Linked DNA regions of Neurospora crassa OR74A. The protein of the gene in region 1 purifies or fractionates together with the protein of each later gene. This does not show direct contact. Links are inferred from orthologs where the notes say so. Each region holds a gene or a part of one and is shown in the gene's direction. Other genes may lie near its edges. The genes, in order: NCU05803 and NCU03690.

Region 1 (3,531 bases):
CGAGTCGATTAGAGAGACTGCCCTCCGTGCTGGTCGTCTGTTGGTTAAGAACTTTGCCGTTAGAGCTGTCGATCTCTTGCTGCCCGAGCTTGAGCGTGGTCTTGCTGATGACAGCTACCGTATCCGTCTCAGCTCCGTCGAGCTCGTTGGTGATTTGTTGTTCAACCTTACCGGTGTCAAGGTCACTGATGGTGAAGATGAGGAAGAGGATATCGAGACTGTCAAGGAAGCCGGTGCTTCTCTCCGTGAGATTCTCGGAGAGGAAAAGCGCAACAAGGTCCTGTCCTCGCTCTACATCTGCCGTTGCGATACCTCGGGTGCCGTCCGCTCCGCTGCTGTCAGCGTGTGGAAGGCTCTTGTCCACAGTCCTCGCATTCTTAAGGAGCTTGTGCCCACTCTCACTCAGCTCATTATCCGCCGTCTCGGCAGCTCTAACATGGAGCACAAGATCATTGCCAGCAATGCTTTGGGCGAGCTGATAAGGAAGGCTGGCGACGGCGTTCTGGCGACACTCTTGCCCACTCTCGAGGAAGGTCTCCAGACCTCGAGCGATGTCGATGCCAGACAGGGTATTTGCCTTGCCCTCAAGGAGCTCATCGCTTCTGCCTCTCCCGAGGCCCTCGAGGATCACGAGAAGACGCTCATCTCGGTTGTGCGTACCGCGCTTACCGACCGCGACGAAGATGTCAGAGAAGCCGCCGCCGAGGCCTTCGATTCCTTGCAGCAGATTCTCGGCAAGCGTGCTGTCGAAGAGGTTATGCCCTTCCTTCTCACCCTTCTCGCTAATGAGGAGGAGGCTGAGAATGCTCTTGCGGCTCTGCTCACCTTGCTCACCGAGACTACTCGCTCCAACATGATACTGCCCAACCTCATCCCCAGCCTTATCAAGCCTCCTATTTCTTCCTTCAACGCCAAGGCGTTGGCTTCGTTGTCCAAGGTTGCCGGCGCGGCTATGAACCGTCGTCTGCCCAGCATCATCAACTCGCTTATGGATAACATTATCAACTGCACTGACGATACTCTCCGCGAGGAGCTTGACGAGTCGTTCGACACTGTCATCCTGTCCATCGACGAGTACGACGGTCTCAACATGGTTATGCAGACCTTGCTGCAGCTTCTCAAGCACGACGATCACCGCAGAAGAGCGTCTACCGCGTTCCACCTGTCCAAGTTCTTTGCTTCGGCCGATGTGGACTACTCGCGCTACAACCAGGATATCATCCGCTCTCTCCTGCTCTCGTTCGATGATAGGGACATGGACGTGGTCAAGTCTGCCTGGAGCGCGCTTAGCGAGTTCACCAAGAAGCTTAGGAAGGAAGACATGGAGAACTTGGTCATCTCTACTCGCCAGACCCTCCTCCAGGTTGGCGTTGCCGGCGTCAACCTGCGCGGCTTCGAGCTGCCCAAGGGTATCAACGCCATTCTCCCGATTTTCCTGCAGGGTCTTATGAACGGCTCGGCAGATCAGAGAGTGGCTTCGGCCCTTGCCATCTCGGACATTGTCGACAGGACCAGCGAGGCCTCGCTCAAGCCGTTTGTCACGCAGATTACCGGTCCGCTCATTCGTGTCGTTTCCGAACGTTCTACCGAGGTCAAGTCCGCCATTCTGCTTACCCTTAACAACTTGCTTGAGAAGATGCCTACGGCGCTCAAGCCCTTCCTGCCGCAGCTGCAGCGCACTTTTGCCAAGTCGCTCGCAGACACATCCAGCGACGTGCTCCGCAGTCGTGCCGCCAAGGCTTTGGGTACTCTTATCAAGTTTACTCCCCGCGTGGATCCTTTGATCGCCGAGCTGGTGACGGGCTCCAAGACTTCCGACGCCGGCGTCAAGACGGCCATGCTCAAGGCCCTGTACGAGGTCATCAGCAAGGCCGGCGCCAACATGGGCGAGGGCTCTCGCACCGCCGTCCTCGGTCTTATTGATACCGAGGCGGACGAGCGCGACGACACCATGACCATCACCTACGCCAAGTTGTTCGGTGCCCTTGTCAAGAACGTCTCGGACGAGGTGGCTGCCCAGCTTCTCAAGAACAGAGTCCTGACCAGGGACTTTAGCAACTCGAGTGTTCTGGCTTTGAACGCCGTCCTGCTGGAGAGCCCTGAGACCCTCTTGGAGTCTTCGTTGGTGGATGACTTGCCTGAGCTTTTGTGCCAGGGCATGGCAAGCAAGAACGTGAGTCTTTCCTTTCCCTTCCCCACAGCAGCCTTTTTCACCTCCCCTTCCATCTCTCTCCCCATGTAAGCAAGGACCCTAACTAACTCATCCCCAGACCTTCATCACCGAGAACTTCATCCTCGCCACGGGCAAATACCTCCTCTCCCCCGTGCCCAAATCCTTCGAAGCAACCAAACCCCTCTTCAGCACCATCTCCACCCTCCTTCCACCGGGCCAACCGACCGACTCGCGCCGTCTCGCCCTCGTGCTTGTTCGTACTCTAGCGCGCACCAACCCCGACCTCGTCCGTCCCCATCTGGCTCTACTCGCCCCGCCCGTCTTCGCCTCAGTGCGCGACATGGTCATCCCCGTCAAGTTGGCCGCCGAAGCCGCTTTCGTCCAGCTTTTCGCGGTGGCCGATGAGGAAAGCAAGGTGTTTGAAAAGTACTTGGAATCGCAAGAAGGAAATATGGCGCCGAATGTCAAGAGGAGCATGCAGGATTACTTTAAGCGCGTGGCACTTCGTTTGGGTGCGCAGGTGCGCGAGCGTAGAGAGGCCGAGGGTGGAACGGGTGGATTGGGATTGAGCAATGATGAGGTGGAGGATGAGAAGGAGTTGATGAGTGTTGGACGGGTGGATGTCGCGGGTGGGGGGGAGATGTTTGATTAGTTGGGGGAGAAGAAGAAGATGAAGCAGGAAAAAAAAAGCGGAAGGGAAAAGACATGAAGGAGGAAAAAGGAAAGCGAAAAGACCGCCGGTTGGGTAAAAGATGTTTTCTTTATATCTCTGTGCTGTACATTAGATAGAACTGTTGTGAAATAAGCGGTATGAAAAGTAATGTTATGTCTTGTAGCGTATATTTCGGTTGATGATGATGATGATGCCTGCAAGGTGTTTGGTTGGTTGGATGATCTTGTTCAGGAGAAGGCGGTGGGGGATGCCAATGCCCCTGAGTGAAGCGAAATGCGAAATGGCGGACGGTCGGTCGTGCGGTCTGATGATCAGCGTCAAGCATACAGCATGCAGTTGAACAAAAGAATCGCTAGCTGAAGCTCAGGTAGATATGTACATTACCTTGTGTGCTTTACATTTGTCGAATGAATATGTGATGATTTGGATGGTGTGGTGTTGTGTGGTTGATGTTGATACATGTGGTTAGCTGATGTACTTGTAGGTGTAGGTATATACAGTAGGTAGGTAGGTAGGTACTCACGAATGGCGCTAACGATGAACGAGGCCAAAAATCGCCTTTACTACGCAGTATGCAGTATAATAAGGCATCCCAAGGGGCATGAACATCATCAAGCAGACAGACATCAGAATCACGTCGACGTTTTTTTTTTTTTTTTTTTTTTTTTTCTTTTTTCTCTTTCTA
Region 2 (4,592 bases), on another chromosome or scaffold:
TGTGAGTTGATCGCCTATTCGATACATTTTACAGTGACTAATCTTGGTCTAGAGATACAACCCGACACAGCCTTTGTCAACTCCTCTTTGTACGGTTGAGCCGACGTTGGAGTTTACCACCCGACTGGCAAAGCTGATCACAAGGAGGACGCAACTGCCTACCTATGTGGGCAACTCGGTGAGCTTTGCCAGTGCCGGCCTTGGCGGGACTGTTGAAGAGGAGATGGAAGCTTTCAAACAGGTAGCCGAGCTTGTCCTATCCAAACTTGAGTTTGCCAACGCGACGCCCAATGGAGTCCAGTCCTGAGCCTCGAACGTTGACAAAAGAACCCTTCCCAACTACAATTTTTCTTTTTGCTACTGTTGATGGGCACAAGTTGTTGCACACAAACACCTCGGCCTTTTGGCCAAGGGGATTCCGGCAGTTCCCTTCTCAACGAATTTCCGCAAACGCTTAGTTTGAGCTTGCCTAACCTACTCACCTTTTTTTGAACGTGCCACAAAGGCGTGTCGTTTCCCACGAATCCATGACCCAAGAAGGCCATGGAACTGTCACTCGTGTTCGGTTACCTGCTTGATACATGTCGGGTATTGGTAGCAATATGGATTGGCACCATATCCCGACGGGGCATGGCCGAAGGCGATTAACCTTCAGAGAATTGACGGAAATGTTCTGAACCCCAAAGCCCTGGTTATGATGAGGCAAAGGGTGTTATCTGCAGTTTCATATTTGGCACATCAACATGGCCGCGGGATAGATCGGCTCACAAAGCTGACCTGGCAGGTTTGGCAGATCTCAGTCGTCTGTTACACAGCAACACTGTCGTGGACCTTCTGGCGACATCCAAGTTCCATGTGTCTGGTAGGTCTGAAAAGGACGACTGGTATCCCGCCTGTGCTGGATGGACATCATCCGGTCTGTACAGCAAGAAGGAGAGAAAGAGGTGACGAGGAAAACTCGCCATCCAATTCCCAAATCATAGAAAGCGGTCTAGAAACTCAGTTCCCACCAAGCAGGCTTTTAAACTAAAATAGAGGCCACATGCGAGAGAGGATACCTTACCCTTACTGCCATCCCATCCTTACAACGCATAAAAAACCTAGCTTTTCTTCAACCAAATATGACCCGATAGGTAGGGTGGTTCACAAGCTGGGAAATGGGACGAACCCAAAAGTATCAAAGTCTCGGCCAGGCCCTTGGTCGAGGTTCAAAGGGCCGGGCGTCTCATTGACTGCGACGCCAGAAGCTCTGCCGATGACTCCTCTTGAATGAATGACCCCGGTGCCATTTGCTGTTCGATTTCCTTCGGGCATTAATGAGTTGCTGCTGTAACGGTGCCATCCACTTCAAGGCGCGTACGTGCATACGTAGGTAGCAGGAAGCTTAGCATTATCAGAAGGGGTTTTGTGCAACCATCAAGCGGGCGGGTGGCCGCCATACATGAGAGGTACAGAGCGGGAGAGAGAGACGACGACCTCATCAAGCGTCCATGGGAGGTTGCCCCGGCCCCGCTCTTGGACAGAACGAAGCTACAACCGCCCACGCAGAGCTAGCACCTGAAGACCACTGACCACACCTGCCACATTTCTTGACAGGCCCGCATCTCCTAGGTAGGCGAGCAGGCTTGGCATCGCACAAGTGCCAGTGCAGGTGTGCAGGGCAGGGGCGGCACCTCCACTTGTCTTCAACAAGTTTCCGTTCCCTTCCCCTCGACCACTTGCACTTGACGGCACAGCAAAAAATAGAGGCCAGCCAAGGCCCACTTTGCACCCCACATTAAACATTGCCCTGCTCGAGCCTTGCCCGCCGCCCACCCACGACCACCATCGATGTCGACCTACCGGTAACCACTGGCAATTGCTTCTGGGTATCGATCTCTTTCATCAACGAAACAACACCCTGCCTCCTTCCCGAGGACAAACTGCCGGTTCTTGTCTGCAGCTCTTGCTACCCGTCGGCCTGCCAGATGCGACTACCCACGACCAGCTTCAACTAAACGAACCCTAAAGAGTACCTCCGCCTTGAAGGCCGCGCTGTGGTGACCCGGCGCCTCTCTCACAACTGAACTTGCACTGTCAGAGAGTTCATTCGAGTCGGCCATTTTTTTTTCTTTTTTTCTTTGGGCCTCCCAATTCTGCGTTCGACTCTTCAGCAGTTCACCGGTATCGGCCCGACACCATCGTTCTGGTTCTCGTCAGCTACGAGATATCAAAGTCCGAGAACCCACCAACCGCCGCCGCCGCCGCCGCCACCACACGACACATCGCCGACGTTACGCGCCTGTGTCACTTCAATCCCAATTATCACCATGGCTTGGCAACCGAGTGGAGAGAACCTGAAGACTTTGGCACAATGTCTGAAGGATTCCCTGAGCGCCTTCAACAAGGCCGCCCAGAAGCAGGCTGAAATCGTGAGTTAATGCCCCTCGGCACCATCTAGTTACCCAGTCTGATGGAGCATTGCCACAAGACAGAGATTCTGACTTGTCTTTATAAACCAGATGCTTAACCAAGCGAAAGCTTCGCCCGATATCAACAACTACTTGGCCCTGATTTTCTCGAGCTCGGAACCACCCCAGGAGTTTCCAGCGACTGCTGCAGACTGGCATGTTGTGCGCTGTGCCGCCGCTCTGATGCTGAAGAACAACATCAAGAACAACTATAACAAGATTCCAGAACAGAGCTTGGCTCTTGTCAAGTTGGCTGTCCCCTTGGGGCTCCAGGACAAGAACTCACAGATCCGCAGTCATGCAGGCACTCTTGCGACTGAGCTGATTAACAAGGGAGGAATCTACGGCTGGCCCGAGTTTCTGCCCGAGTTGCTCAAGATGTTGACCAATGAGTCTGGTCAGGTAACGCCCGAGGCGCAGGAGGGAGCTATGGCTGCCATGGCAAAGATCTGCGAAGACAATGCGAAGATGCTAGAAAGGGAACACAACGGCCAAAGACCTATCAACTTTCTCCTTCCAAAGCTTATTCAGGCAACCAGGAGCGCAATTCCCAAAGTTCGCGCCCATGCTCTCACAGCCATCAATGTGTTCACCCCTAGGAAGTCGCAGGCCATGCTGAACTCGATAGATGACCTTCTACAGCACCTCTTTGCTCTGGCTGAAGATCCCTCAATCGATGTCCGAAAACAGGTCTGCCGTGCTTTTGTGAACCTGGTGGAAACCCGTCCGGACAAGCTTCTGCCCCATATCGAAGGCCTGGCCAAGTACATCATCGCTCAACAAAAGGGTGACGACGAGGATCTTGCCACTGAGGCTGCCGAGTTCTGGCTGACTGTTGGAGAGCACGATAACCTGTGGCGGGCCCTGGAACCGTACATCACAGACATCATCCCCGTACTTTTGGAGTGCATGGTCTACAGTCCCGAGGATATTGCTATACTTGGAGGTGCTTCGGACGATGAGGATGAAGAAGACCGGGAGGAGGATATCAAGCCACAGTTCGCCAAGAAGAAGCTGACCCGTGCTGCTAACGGAAACACTGCGGCTGATATGGCGAAGAATGGAAACGCGTTCGAGAAGGTTGCAAGCATGGAGGAAGACGACGATGATTTGGAAGATGGCGAAATTGACGACAGCGAGTCCGAGGGAGATGAGAATCCCGATGAGAAGTGGACTCTCCGCAAGTGCTCAGCGGCGGCACTTGATGTATTTGCTCGCGACTTTGGCGGACCAGTCTTCACTTCTATTCTACCATATTTGCAGAGCAACCTCAAGCACGCGGATTGGTCTTACAGAGAAGCGGCTGTTCTCGCCCTTGGTGCTGTTGCTGAGGGCTGCATGGACGTGGTCGTTCCCCACCTTCCAGAATTGGTGCCCTATCTTGTTAGTCTCCTCGACGACGAGGAGCCGGTGGTTCGCCAGATTACCTGCTGGACCCTTGGTCGATACTCTGCGTGGGCGGTTAGCCTTGTGGATCAGGCAGAAAAGGAGAGATACTTCCTGCCTATGATGGACGGAATTCTCAAGAAGATGCTTGACAAGAACAAGAACGTTCAGGAGGCTGGTGCCTCTGCCATGGCAAACCTAGAAGAGAAGGCAGGCAAGGCGCTCGAGCCTTACTGCGGACCCATCATCCAGCAATACATCCGGTGCTTCGGCAAGTACAAGGATAAGAATATGTGGGTTCTCTACGACTGCGTTCAGACGCTGGCTGAGCACATCGGCCCCGTCCTGGCTAGGCCTGAGCTTAGTAACCAGTTGATGCCAGTCCTACTGGATAGGTGGCAGAAGGTGGGTGATGAGTCCCGGGAGCTTTTTCCCTTGCTCGAGTGCCTTTCCTACGTCGCTATGGCCCTTGGCGATGCCTTCACCCCTTACGCCGAGCCTATTTTCGGCAGGTGTATTCGAATTATTCATCAAAACCTGGAGCAGGCCATGAAGGCCAAGACCAACACCGATCTTGATCAACCTGATGAGGATTTCCTGGTCACCAGCCTCGATCTTCTCAGTGCCATCATCCAGGCCCTAGACAACGACAAGGCTTCCAAGCTTGTTGCCAACGTCCAGCCAACCTTTTTTGAGCTGATGGCTCTGTGCATGGGGGATCAATCCGATGCCGTTCAGCAATCGGCATACGCTCTT

What was found.
Region 2: the proteins of NCU05803 (region 1) and NCU03690 purify together in Saccharomyces cerevisiae (affinity purification with mass spectrometry; 3 studies listed by BioGRID). This does not show direct contact. The link is inferred for Neurospora crassa OR74A from reciprocal best matches to the Saccharomyces cerevisiae genes GCN1 and KAP104.

What each region holds. Positions count from the first base shown.
Region 1 is NC_026507.1:3,886,420-3,889,950, forward strand, and holds the end of NCU05803 (translational activator GCN1), read left to right. Parts: coding exon 1-2,173; intron 2,174-2,270; coding exon 2,271-2,825; 3' UTR 2,826-3,015; downstream 3,016-3,531. UniProt on the Saccharomyces cerevisiae protein: Ribosome collision sensor that activates a translation quality control pathway when a ribosome has stalled during translation. Directly binds to the ribosome and acts as a sentinel for colliding ribosomes.
Region 2 is NC_026505.1:2,091,214-2,095,805, reverse strand, and holds the start of NCU03690 (importin beta-2 subunit), read left to right. Parts: upstream 1-1,737; 5' UTR 1,738-2,309; coding exon 2,310-2,411; intron 2,412-2,501; coding exon 2,502-4,592. Other genes in the region: NCU03691 (hypothetical protein), read left to right, coding at 1-1, 53-307. UniProt on the Saccharomyces cerevisiae protein: Functions in nuclear protein import as nuclear transport receptor. Serves as receptor for arginine/glycine-rich nuclear localization signals (rg-NLS) and PY-NLS in cargo substrates. Its predominant cargo substrate seems to be mRNA-binding proteins.